Neurospora crassa OR74A: one gene and its partner. The protein of the gene in region 1 interacts with the protein of each later gene in a biochemical or structural test. Links are inferred from orthologs where the notes say so. Each region holds a gene or a part of one and is shown in the gene's direction. Other genes may lie near its edges.

What was found.
Region 2: the proteins of pold-1 (region 1) and NCU03763 form a complex in vitro, tested with the Saccharomyces cerevisiae proteins (2 studies listed by BioGRID). The link is inferred for Neurospora crassa OR74A from reciprocal best matches to the Saccharomyces cerevisiae genes POL3 and POL31.

Annotation. Positions count from the first base shown.
Region 1 is NC_026505.1:3,184,499-3,191,229, forward strand, and holds pold-1 (DNA polymerase delta catalytic subunit), read left to right. Parts: upstream 1-2,695; 5' UTR 2,696-2,919; coding exon 2,920-3,687; intron 3,688-3,740; coding exon 3,741-5,545; intron 5,546-5,609; coding exon 5,610-6,351; 3' UTR 6,352-6,600; downstream 6,601-6,731. Other genes in the region: NCU01190 (DUF410 domain-containing protein), read left to right, coding at 1-54, 164-836; NCU01191 (hypothetical protein), read right to left, coding at 1,156-1,256, 1,330-2,095.
Region 2 is NC_026505.1:2,337,389-2,344,090, reverse strand, and holds NCU03763 (DNA polymerase delta subunit 2), read left to right. Parts: upstream 1-2,849; 5' UTR 2,850-2,989; coding exon 2,990-3,039; intron 3,040-3,104; coding exon 3,105-3,414; intron 3,415-3,469; coding exon 3,470-4,466; intron 4,467-4,592; coding exon 4,593-4,813; 3' UTR 4,814-5,126; downstream 5,127-6,702. Other genes in the region: NCU03765 (3'-5' exonuclease/helicase), read left to right, coding at 1-624; NCU03764 (microtubule associated protein, variant), read right to left, coding at 998-2,461; NCU03762 (hypothetical protein), read right to left, coding at 5,751-6,149, 6,252-6,702. UniProt on the Saccharomyces cerevisiae protein: DNA polymerase delta (DNA polymerase III) participates in chromosomal DNA replication.

The DNA of each region.
Region 1 (6,731 bases):
GCTGTTTGAGTTTGAAGAGCCGACCAGGAAGAAGTTTGTGAAGGAGGTTTTTGAGTAAGTCTTCTTTCTTCCATCTGTAACGCGGGTTTGCACAGAAAGGAGGACAAGATATAACGAAAATTGAAAAAAGCAAGAAGAGGTACTAAATCTTTCATTTGAACAGCTGGTCACGAAAGTTTGGCGACTACCCTGCCGGCGACCCGGAGCTGCACCACGTTGTCGGCACCCTAGCCGCCGAGAAGCACGAGACGGATGAGGCCGAGAAGCATTTGGTTCTAGGCACCAAAGAGTCGGCCGAAGTGCTGACGCGCATGGAGTACGAGTGGTACAAGGACAGCGAGCAACCGCACACGGCCGCCCTCTTCGCCGCCCGCGCCATCCTGCCGTATCTGCTGCTGGCTAATGTCCGCGCGGCCAACACGTCATACCGCGCTTTTGTCTCGGCACTCACGGCCGAAAACTCGTCGCTCGGCGTGCAAAACGTGGAGAGTTCCCAGGGTAGTGATATCCGCATCTTCCCGAGCTTGCCGCTGCTGAATCTCTTGGGACTGTTGCTGCTGGCGGTGCAGAAGGGAACCCCGGATCTGTTCAGGCAGTTGAAGACGAAATATGCGAGCAATCTTGCCGAGCTGGGGGGAGCGTGGGACGGCGCGCTGGAGATGATTGCCGAGATGTACTTTGGTATTCAAAGGCCACGGCAGTCTAACCCATTGCTGGATATGATGGGTAGCTTGTTCGGCGGCGGCGGTGGCGGTGGTGGTGGTGCGGGTGCTGCTGGTGGCAGGCCGCCAGTGAGGAGGGTCGAGGCGGCGCCTACTGCTGAGGGACTGGACTGAGAAGAAAAGAAATGGTGAAGAGGGATGGGTTTCAGTAAAGAAAGGCACAGACGTATGCTTTTCTTCTCGCTTTGTGCTCTGCTCATAGTCTACTAGGATCCTGTTAAAGGTGAAAATGGTAATCATAGGGGGGTATACGCTGGTTATGCTAAGATAATACAACAATCCAGAGGGGGAAAGAAACCCAAGTAGTAACTGGAAAAAAGAACTCGGAGAAGGAACCAGACCCAACTACCAACCAGCCTCGTTACCATGAATGCAATCCAGTCGTGTCAACAAATGCGTGCCGCTCGTCACTCAATCATCCCTCCCCAATCAGTCAGTGCAAATGAAGTACCTCCTCCCTCTCAAACATCCAATTATCTTCCGATAACGCCGCGACCTTGGCTTTCAAGCTCGCCTTGACTGCCTCCAGGAGATCTACATTCAGTCGTCAGCCGTCTTCCTCACATGTAGCGCCCATGGCGGCGCAACTGAAGCTTGAAAAACATACCTTCGGTATCCATCCCACCTCCTCCTCCCCCACCAGCACCTTCTCCTCCCCCTCCCCCTCCTCCAGCCCCCTCTGGCCCAACATCCCCCCTCCCCTCTGCCTCGTGCTCCGTCAACCACTCCCTCACCGCGTCCGCCAACCTCTCCCTTTCCTTCTCCTGCTCTATTCGGGCCTCCATGATCGTTTCCATCTCCTCGTCGTAGGGCGGCGTGGGAGGGTCGTGGCCCAAGTCGATTTCTCCAGTTTCTTTGTCGCGAACGACTATTTCGAGGTTGGGGTCTGTGAGGGCGTCGGTCAAGGGTGGGGATTCTTGTGAAGAGGTCATTTTGGTGTCTTCTTCGTGGTGTTGTGGTACTGGTTGTTGGTATTGTTGACTGAGAAGATCTTGGGGGTAGGGGTAGGAGTAGTCGGAGTAGGAAGAAGGTGGTTGGGTGAGGTAAGAAGCTTGTTGGTGAGGTAAGTGTGACTGAAAGTTGCTCTGGTGGATCTGAGAGTGAGATGTCTGAGAGGTCTGAGACTGAAAGGATTGTTGGGATGGAAAGTGTCCTTGAGACTGAGTACTATCTGGAGCAGCAGTGGGTTGTCGGGATGCCTGAGCTGGTTGTGATTGTGGCTGCTGTTGGAACAGGTTGCGGCGGACTGATGCTCCGACTCTTGCTCCCGCTCCCGCTCCTGCTCCGGCGGAGGAAAGTCCGGTGTGTGAAGGAGGCGCGATTCGCGAGGGAGCAGCGGGTTTGAAGTTGGGCCCGGGACGACGGTCGGCCATTTCTGTGGATGTTGTCTCTTGGTCTTGAGGTTGTAGTAGATGCGTTGGTTGGTATGACTTTTGGGTTCGGCAGTTCAGTCAAGTTAAACGGTGGATGTTATTGAGGTAGACTTCATCTATTCGAGGGAGCGACACTTTACAGACTTTGTTGCCTGACCTTCCAAGGGAGAATCACAAGTGATGTAAGGTTATGCAATTACTTGGTGAAAGTTGTAAGTGGTATGAGAGAAGACGCGGGGCATACTCCGGTCGCCGCACCGCGAGAGACGTGAAGTGAAGGATGACAGGGTTAGGGTCTGACGCGAGCTCACGTGCTTCGATTGAAGCAACCGGGCGGCATCATCCAGTTCTCTAGTTGCCATTTGCAAGCTCGAGGATGTGTTTGAAGTTGTTCGAATGGGCTACTAATACCGATACAGTCACTCGGGTTCGTCGATAGAAAGACGTTGTCCGCAAACGGTGCTTTGACTAGGTGGTACTAATGCAAGAGGTACCTCGTCCTATCTGCAGGGGTTAAAGAGGTGCAGTTACAGGTAATTAACGGCGCGATGTAAAAGTGGGTGCTTGTCACGTAACAAAGACGTTCGTCGCGTAGTATAGTCGCGGTTCCCATTTCATCCCATTTACAATTCACATTCTCCGTCCCCTCACTCCAACCAGACGTATTCTCTTTGGCTGTATCATTGCTCTTCTTTTTGTTCTTCGCCAAAGACGACACTGAATTTTTCAAAAGACAACAACCCCATGTCCTGAAAGACGTCCATCTTTGTGGATCCTATCCTAGCCGACCTCTACCACAGGCACTCAACTTCCAAAGAGCCAGAATGGCGCCCTCAGCGTTGCCCCAGAAGCGCGCGTTTGGCGAGGCGTCAAGCGCCCGCAGCAACATTCACAATCTTCCCGCCGCTTCATCAGATTCAGCCAAGAAAAGACGCCTCGACGATGTCCTTCCCTCTTCCCGCTTCCGAACTTTCAAGAATGACGGCAAGGGCAGGATACCCTCTACCCAACCCAAGAGCGCCTTCGAGAGCGAGGTGCTTGAGCGTATGAGCCAGGATATTTCCGATCTGAAACAGAATAACTCGGAAAAGGATCAAGCTTGGGAACGCCCGCCACTACCAGCGACCTACAACCCAGCTACAGACAGTCTCTGCTTCCAGTCCATTGAGGCTGAAGAGGGATTCCTCCACGGCGGCCAAGCGACCATTAAGCTGTTTGGTGTTACCGAGAATGGAAACTCGGTCCTCCTCCATGTCAAAGACTTCAAACACTACCTCTACGTTCAAGCCCCTGTATCGTTTGGTCCCGATGATTGTCCCAAGTACAGAGCATTCCTCGAAACGCAGCTCGCCATGCCCACACCGGCCATCCATTCGGTCACCCTGACGATGCGCGAGAACATGTACGGCTTCCAAGGCAACACACAAAACCCTTATATCAAGGTCACCGTCAACGACCCCAAATTTCTTCCCAGAGTTCGAAGATTGATCGAAACGAACAAAGCCAACTGGAAGGGCATGTGGAAGAGCGATGGGTCTATCATGACCTTTGATGATATCCAGTATTTGCTTCGGTTCATGGTTGACTGCTCGGTATGTCGCCTCTTCACACTACCCCCAAGATTCCCTAAGCTAACAAACGCCAGATTGCTGGTATGTCTTGGGTGGAGGCTCCCGCAGGCAGCTATCAGCTTGTCAACGATAAACATTCCAACTGTCAGATCGAAGCCGAGATGAGCTACCGGGACCTAATAGCACACAAGCCCGTTGGCGAATGGTCCAAGATGGCACCTCTTCGAATTCTCTCCTTCGATATCGAGTGCGCTGGCCGCAAGGGCATCTTTCCCGAACCGCAACACGACTCCGTCATTCAGATCGCAAACATTGTCACAAAGTACGGAGAGAAGAAGCCATTTGTCCGTAATGTGTTCTGTCTTGACACCACTAGCCCCATCGTGGCTACTCAAATTCTTTCTTTTGACAGGGAAGAGGACATGCTCCGCGAGTGGCGCAACTTCCTGGAACAGGTCGATCCGGATATCATCATCGGTTACAACATCGCCAACTTCGATTTCCCCTACCTTCTCGACCGAGCTAAACATCTCAAAGTCAAGGATTTCGACTTTTGGTCTCGTACCAGGGTGAGATCTGTCGCAAAGGAGACAAATTTCTCTAGCAAGCAGATGGGCAACCGTGACACCAAGGCTACAAATACCAACGGACGGCTTCAGCTCGACATGCTTCAACTCGTACAACGCGACTACCAGTTGAGGAGTTACACCCTTAATTCTGTCTGCTCGCACTTCTTAGGGGAGCAAAAAGAAGACGTTCATCATTCCATGATCACAGAATTGTTCGAAGGCACACCAGAATCCAGGCGACGTCTTGCACTTTATTGCTTGAAGGACGCCTACTTGCCGCAAAGGCTGATGGACAAGCTGTCATGTTTAGAAAACTACACGGAAATGGCAAGAGTCACGGGTGTGCCGTTCAACTTCCTCTTGGCCAGAGGTCAGCAAGTCAAGTTCTTGAGTCAGCTTTTCCGCAAGGCTTTGGAGCAGAAGCTGGTCATTCCCAACCTACGTCCCGAGTCCTCGGAAGAGCAGTACGAAGGTGCTACTGTCATTGAGCCTACAAGAGGCTATTACGATGTGCCAATTGCGACTCTCGATTTTGCTTCACTGTATCCCAGTATCATGCAGGCGCACAACCTTTGCTACACAACACTCATCAAGAAGCGGGACATCGAGAGATGGGATTTGAAGAAGGACGAGGACTACATTGTTACTCCGAACGGAGACATGTTTGTGACGACTAAGCAGAGGAAGGGTCTTTTGGCACAGATTCTGGAGGAGTTGCTCTCTGCCAGAAAGCAAGCGAAGCGCGAGTTGGCCGTAGAGAAGGACCCATTCAAGAAGGCTGTGCTGAACGGTCGTCAGTTGGCTTTGAAGGTCAGCGCCAACTCCGTCTACGGTTTGACGGGAGCCACAAACGGCAAGCTTCCTTGCTTGGAGATCGCCAGTAGTGTCACCAGTTTCGGTCGTCAAATGATCGAAAGGACCAAAAAGGAGGTGGAGGAGCGGTATACCATTGCCAATGGCTACTCTCACGACGCTCAGGTCATCTACGGTGATACCGATTCCGTCATGGTCAAGTTTGGAACCAAGGATCTTGCTGAGGCCATGAAGCTCGGCCAAGATGCCTCCGAGTATGTCTCGGGCAAGTTCATCAAGCCCATCAAGTTGGAGTTCGAAAAGGTTTATTTCCCGTACCTCCTCATCAACAAGAAGCGTTATGCGGGTCTGTACTGGACCAAGCCTGAGAAGTACGATAAGATGGACACCAAGGGTATCGAGACGGTTCGTCGTGACAACTGCTTGCTAGTTCAGACAGTTATCGAGAAGGTTCTTAGGATGATCCTTATCGACCAAGACGTCCCTGGAGCCCAAGCGTAAGAGTTTGCCAAATTTATCCCTTTTGCCATTGCCAACATCGCGCTAACTTACTACCCCCAGATATGTCAAAGACACCATCGCCGACCTCCTGCAAAACAAGATCGACATGTCTAAGCTAGTCATCACCAAGGCCCTGACCAAAGAGAACTACGATGCCAAGCAAGCCCACGTCGAGCTCGCGCAGCGCATGAAGAAGCGCGATGCCGGTTCTGCCCCGGGGCTCGGCGACCGCGTCGCCTACGTCATGGTAAAAGGCGCCACGGGCTCCAAGAACTTTGAACGCTCCGAGGACCCCATCTACGTGCTCGAGCACAACGTGCCCATCGACACCAAGTACTATCTGGACAACCAGCTAGCCAAGCCTTTGGGCCGCATCTTCGAGCCTATCCTGGGCGAGACCAAAGCCAAGTCGCTGTTGCACGGCGACCACACCCGCGTCGTCTCAGTCGCCGCCCCGACCGTCGGGGGACTCATGAAGTTCGCCAAGAAGACGCAGACCTGCATGGGCTGCAAGAAGCCGCTGACGGGCAAAGAGGAGAGCCAGGGCGCTGTCTGTGCGGATGATGCTCCGAGAGTGGGTGAGCTGTACAAAAAGACGCTCGATAGGGTGTCGGATCTGGAGGTCAGATTCGGCAGGCTCTGGACCCAGTGTCAGAGGTGTCAGGGGTCGATGCACTGCGAGGTTATCTGCAGTAGCAAGGACTGTCCGATTTTCTACATGCGGATGAAGGCTAAGAAGGATCTGGAAGATGCGAATAAGGAGTTGCAGAGGTTTGATTTCGATGCGGCTGCTATGTGGTGAAAAGGATATGTGGTGAAAAGGGTAGGTATGGGTTTATAAGGTTTGGGATGGGATGATTGAGTATGCGGCCAACATGTATTACGAAGGATGGGATAAGTAACGGCTGTCTAAACGAAATGTAAAGGTATCGTACTGGTATATTGAGGCGTTTTGGTATGGAGATTGTTGTCGTGGAGTTTTGGCGATCGGAGGTATTTGCTATCTAGATTATAGGAGAAAATGACGTGTGAACCTGTTCGGAAAAATATCACACGTATTCATCATTGATCTGCGTCGGAACAGAAACGAGTTAGAGGGGAGTGGTATTGGAGTTATTATCGTGGATTGCCGATCACTCTTGTGCCGATATGAATCTCCGGGCCTGCCAGAGTATTTTGCTC
Region 2 (6,702 bases), about 850 kb from region 1:
TCCCGCAAACAAACCTTTGCCCCCAAATCCCCCCTCTCCGTCGCCAACCTGCGCGCCTATTACCTCTGGTCTCGTAATCCGTCGATGAACTGCGAAGCTCTGGCCGCGTTGCTCGGCATCAAGACTAGCACGGCCGCACAATACATTCTGGTGGCTATTCAGAAGGAAAAGGGTAGGCTGTCGTTTGAGCCGAAGCGGATGAAGGAGGAGATTTTTGGGTCTGGGGTGATTTCGGAGGAGACGTTGAAGTTCAGGTGGCAGGGCGTGCAGATGCTGTGTGCGTTGTATGAGGAGGCTGAGGCGCGTGGGGTGAATGGGACGGGGGTGATGGATGGGGAGGGGGTGAAGGGGAAGAGTGAGTTGGAGTTGTTGGATGAGATTTTTGGGCAGGAGCAGGAGCAGGAAGGTGAGGTAGAGGAGGTTGAGGGTGAGGAGGTAGATGAGACACAGGCAGAGGTGGAGGTAAAGCCGAAGGAAGAGAGCGTGGAGGATGTGATGAAGGCTGCGTTGGAGGCTGGGGATTTGGACTTTGATGAGGAGTTGACGCTGGGCAATAGCAGCAGTCAAGCGACGGTTGATGAGGAAGAGGTGGAGAGGTTGAGGAAGATGTCGAGAAGTCACTGAGCCGGCTCTCAAGCTGCTGGTCGAGTGCTGAACAAGAAAGGAAAGATGTCGACGATGCACCTATACCCCGAGACCGACTTGGCTACTTTTAGACGTTGGTAGATGAACCTTGTATAATCCTCAGAACAACCTGACTGGGCTCTGCAGAAGCCATCTAGTCTATGCTCCAGGTCAGTACAGTTTTCGCGTACAGTTTAGTTCAGAAAGAATCTGTCACGGCTGTTCTTGGCCTCGTCCCTGCAGATATCACAAAAATATCCTGTACAGTATTCACATTCCATTTTATCTATCCTGGGTATATCATAACAACCAAGTTCTGCTGCTTCCCTTCTCTTCATCAACAACCCCCTCTTTCCCGACCATTTTTCTTCCTCTACTCGGCATTCACACCCCTCCCCTTATTAATCTGCACCTTCTTATCCTCACCACCGCTGAAGATGCCCAGCTGATCCCACACCACGCTGAACACCTTGCACCCGTCGCCCGTCACACTGCTCTTCTTCTTCTTGCCCTGCTGGCTCTCGCGATCAATAACGTACACGGGCTCGCTGACGCTGCCCATGCCGCCCTCGTCCTTGGTCGCTGGCCGGACCGACCGCAAATCCCAGATCCGGCACGTCCCGTCGTGCGAGCCCGAAACCAGTGAGTACTCGTTCTCCGGGTTCGCCGCCAGACTGACCACCTTGTTGGCATGCCCACGCAGCGTCATGACGCTCGTCGCGGCCGTGCTGGTGCGCGGGTCGACGAGGGTAATGTGTCGGGCGGAGGTGCCGCAGGCGAGAAGGGGCGCCGAGGCCGAGGAGCGCGGCAGGGCAGCGAGAGAGAGGAGCGCATGCGAGGTTGTGAAGGTGCTGACCACGCTGGAGGTGGTCAGGTCGATGGTCTTGACGGTATGGTCCTGCGACACAGAGTAGGCAACGGTGCGGTCGCGGGGGTCGAAGACGGCGGCCGTGGCGGGCGCATTGTGGATGTTCATAAGGGCGAGCGGGCCGCGCTGGGCGGCGGTGACGGAGGTCGCGAGCTTGCGGCGCTTGGATGTGTGGGCGCCGGGAAGGAGCGAGGAATCGGAGACTTCGGGCGCGGACGCCTTGGAGGTGGTCCAGAAACCGATGGAACCGTCGGCGGAGGCAGTGAGGATGCGCTTCGAGGCGCCGTCAACCTCGAGCGAGTCGATCGAGGAGGTGTGGCCGTACAGTTCGAGAGTGGGCTTCAGCTCGCCGCGACGCTCGTACGACTCGCCCGACTCGGTGTACTTCCATACGCGAACTGTGCGGTCCATGCCGGCCGAGGCAATCTGAGTGCTGGAGAGGAATTTGGCAGCTTTTATGCTGGCAGTGTGACCACCGTGGCTGCCCGAGGGCGAGGTGCCAATCACATTTCCAGAGGCGTCCCATATCCTGAGGAGACCGTCGTACGAGGCGGAGAGGATGCGATCTTGGCCGCGCTGAAAGTTGTCGCCGGACCAGCGGCCCGCGGGAGAAGTAGCGGAAAGAACATCGACGGCGCTGACCCAGTCGTCGTGCTCAAAGCTGGCCTCGTATGTTGGTGGGATCAAACTGCGAACGTACTGAAGGGTGATGTTGGTTTCGAGCGAGAGGCCGTTGGCGTTGAGGTACTCTTCAAGACTGCCGCGGAGGAAGCTGCCGTTAACAAGGAAGTCGAAGGGGATCGAGTTGGTGTCGAGCATGGACTCGGAGTTGAGAATACGGGAGAGGCCATAACGGCGGATGTCGGCGGGGACAAGGAGCTGGCGCTTGCTCTCATCGAGCTGGATGTCCTCCTCCTGGGTGGTGAAGGTCACCCGGACCTGGGCGCCTGATTCGGTAGGGTGGTCCATGGCGGTGCCTGTGCTGTGATATTATGTGAATTGGGTAGTCGCTGTTCGGTATGGGCAGGCTGAATACTATCAATTGACAAGTAAAAGTCAGATTGGCTTAGATTACCGTGAAACAGGCGTCGTCGGGAGGAGAGTGTGGATGTTTACTTTGCAGCGGACACCACAAGGCCATGCCAAATCCAAGACTCCATCCAATTTTTTCTGTCCAGCCTTGCAGCGCAGGGGTCTGGAGTGTTCTAGCTACCCCACGTTCCCCTATCTTATCGGAACTTTATAGCGGGGCCGACGGTTCCTGTGAGGGTCACAGTGCTGAAGCGCCGCTACTATGTAAACTATACTAGTATAGAGTAGTACCGGTCATGTACCTGGCTTAATTGAACCCACTGGAGCTACGCGTCTCGAAATTGTCAAGCGCGTCGTCGAGTTTCGTCCCTTGAAGTCAGTTTCCGAGTCGGGCAGCACATGAATAAGTCACCAATTGCTTTTGTCGTTCTCACATCTTGAGCCATTGTCAGTATCAATCATACGATGGTCACCTTGGACGAAGTTCTCGGTAGCGGTTTGCTACAGAAGCCCTCGTGAGTAGCAGTGGATCATCCATCTTCCACTGGCGATCATCAGCTAACAACCCAACTTCACGAAGAGGCGATGCGCCCGAGGCTCTCCAGCGCCAGATCACCAACTACAAGCCCCTTCATACCTTCAAACTCGAAAAAACCCGTCCCTATCAACAACAATATGCCGATATTTACTTTTTGCGTCTTACAAAGATCAGGCCCGCCGTCGAGGCAGCCGCCAGCGCCGCTTGGGAGGGAACAGTGCTTGGTGGTGAGAAGGTCAAGAGGGTCGAGCGTGTCCTAGACGTTCGCCAGGGAGAACTATGCTGGGTAGCTGGAACAGTATATATGGACATGCCTCTAAAGCCCTCAATCCTCGAGGATGTCTCCAAGGATGTGAGTTTCAGCCTATCCTTTGGTGGACACCAGGCAGCTGACAATGATGTTATAGCGCTGGATCTCCGCTCCCACCTCGGTCGGCCACTACTACTCCGGCAACGGCGAAGACTCGGTAATGCTCGAAGACGACTCCGGCCGCATCCGTCTTGTCGGCAACGCTCTGCAAAACCACTTCATGGTGACCGGCTGCATCGTCGCGGTAATGGGCACCGAGAACGCCAACGGCGAATTCGAAGTCATCGACCTCCTCTTCGCCGAACTACCACCACAGCCCGAGCGCTGGTCGCTCTCAAAAGGCAAAAAGGAAGCAGACTCCTCCGAAGACGTCGAAATGATGGACGCCTCTTTCTCCAGGCAGTCCCACAAGCCCTCCTCTAAAAAGATTGCCCTCGTCTCCGGCCTCGAGTTCTCCAACGCCGACACCTCCTACGCCATGGAACTCAACCTGCTTCTCGAGTATCTCCTCGGCGAAGCGCTCGATCCCTCCGTCCAACGCGACGAGCTCTCACACATCACCCGCCTCATCATAGCGGGGAACTCCATCTCCACGACGGCGGCCGAACAGGCCAAACCCGCGGCTGCCTTCGACACCACCACCGTAACAAACAAGTTCCAACCACAAATCAAAAAATACGGCTACGACAGCAGCTCCTACAACCCGGTTCCCTCCCAACTGTTGGACAGCTTTCTGAGTGATCTCCTCCCCACCATGCCCGTCACCCTGCTCCCGGGCGCGCTCGACCCCGCCAACGCGAGTTACCCGCAACAGCCGATTCACCCGGCCATGTTCCCGCAGTCGAGGACGTACATGCCACCCCCAAAAGCGGGGGCGGGCAAGGACAGAGATGTGCCAGGGGAAGAAGAGCCGGGGTGGTTCGACAACGTGACGAATCCATGGGAGGGCGAGATCGAGGGGTGGCGGGTGCTGGGCACAGGCGGACAGAATCTGGATGATGTTTTCAAGTATGTGGAGAGTGAGGATAGACTGGGCATGATGGAGGCCATGTGCAGGTGGAGGTGTGTGGCGCCAACGGCACCGGATACGCTTTGTGAGTTTTGCTTTTCCCTTTTGCAGCACTCCTTTTCCTCCCCTTTATCCTTGGACTTCGATTCACATTTCCATCCCCCCTTCCCCGTTCGGAATTAGCAACGAACTAACCTATCTGATCAAACAGGGTCCTACCCCTTCCAAGAAGACGAGCCCTTCGTAATCAAAGAGTGTCCCCACCTCTTCTTCGTCGGCTGCCAGCCAGAGTTTGGAACGAAAGTGATCCACGGACCGGACGGGCAAGCAGTGCGGTTGATTGCCGTGCCCTCGTTCTCGGAGACTAGAGAGGTGGTGCTCGTGGACACGGAGACGCTAGATGTGGAAAGGGTGAAGATTGTCGCTGAGTGAATGTGAGATGATATCCATAGATTGGGGTAGTGGGTGGTGAGTGAGAGGGGAAACATAGAGGCGGTGACGAGTTATATTTATTACATTTTTGTCATGTTCTTCGCTTTCAGCGTTAGGTGTCTGGCATAGGGAGGGAATTAGGGAGTCTTTTGTTTGAGGTACTACAGGCGAGGGAGTGATGGCTTGGTGTCAGGTGCCAGGAGATATACATGATCTGTTAGACGATCTGGAACAGGATGAGAATTCTCCAAGTGTCAATGTCAAAGATCAACGCACTTGTAATAAAGCTATCAAGGTCATGCAAACTGCTTGCTACATCGGGCTCAGACGCTTCAGCTCCTAATGGTGCTATTGTGTGACTGGTATTGTCGTGCCCATTTGTCCACTCCTTAAATCCTTCCATTGGACTCAATCGACCACCAGAATGTTCGCAAGCATAAAATTGATCACTCCCCTCGTTTGGCTGCTTGTCATCGCATACATAATATACAATGCGACAGGAGATGCCCGTCGTTAAAGATGTCTCTTCCACCTAAAAGAATAAAAGCATTCTGCCCGTTTTCACTTCAATAGCTCCCGGGTTGTGCATAAGAAAACCATGAACCAACCAGCAAGTTCCCCCCTTTATTTACCAAATTCCTCCTTCCACAAAAATAGTCTTGCCCAACTGCTCAGCCTGCAAATCCCTCACTTGCCCTTTCTCCCATTGCCGTATGCTGACCAGGACGCAGTCGAAGACGTTGGCTAACAGGGCCTCAACTCCCATCAGCGATGATGATGTTACAATTCCGACGCCGATAAGAAGTTTCATCAGGGCTTCTTGACCCAATGAAACTCATTCGCTCTTGTGCGACGCCATTTTGAGGAGATAACATACTCAGAATATCAATGTCGGAAGAACGATGATAAGAAGAATAAGAACTAAAAAGGGAGGGATTCAAGACCTGGAAACAACCAATCCATCAGCAACACGTTTTACAGAAATGAGCAACGAATCTCCATACCGTCCACGGCCGCGAGTCGTCAGCTTCCTCTTCTTTGGCCGACTCTCGTAATCATCGTCATCATTCTCATCTTCGTCGCTGTCGTCAATGGAGCTGGACTCTTCCTCGCCATCATTCTGGCGGCGAGCATCACCCTCGAGACGGGCCTCGAACTCCGCCCTCTCCTTTTTGCGACGCATATTGGCGGCGCTATTGTCCTCCCAAAGTCCGTCGGCTACAGCCTGATCCGGATTCTCGAACCCCTCATACATACGACTCTTGAGAGTCTGCAGTGCTGTCTCGGCCTCTTCGCCCCTCTTGGCCCGCTGCTCCTTCATCAAGTGATCATTTACCTAAAACGAATCACCGTTCTCGGACAACTCGAGCTGCTTGGTACGACGCGGAAGGAATCGCATGTCGATGGTCGTCTCGAGATGACGCTTTTCGGTACTGACCGCAAATTCGTCATCCCCCTCATTAGAAGGGCCTTCATCGATATGCATGTTGATTCGAAGAAATTGGGTGTCAATGCGGGAGAGCGCATGCATAACGAGTGATCTACTATCGAACAGCTCGATGGCGCTCGAATACGGGCTTCTCGACCCTTGGCTGCTGTTCTTAGAAACTGATCCGCTGCCAGGGCGACCCTGATCGTTTTCAGGTGACACGGTGATTGTCAAAGTGTGGAGGAAAATTCTTGGGGTTTTTCCATCCACCAATTGGCCAGCAAGCAAGTGTCTGCCCCTTCTATCGGAGCTAGTCAAGACATAAAGGGCCTGCTCCATAAGCTCCCTGTATTGGTTGCCGGATCTGTTCGGCTCGAGTTCGATACTTAAATGTCGCATCAAGTGTCCATACTTCGCGATGTTGATTTCGTATAAGCCGTATTGGCTGTCTGCTTTACGC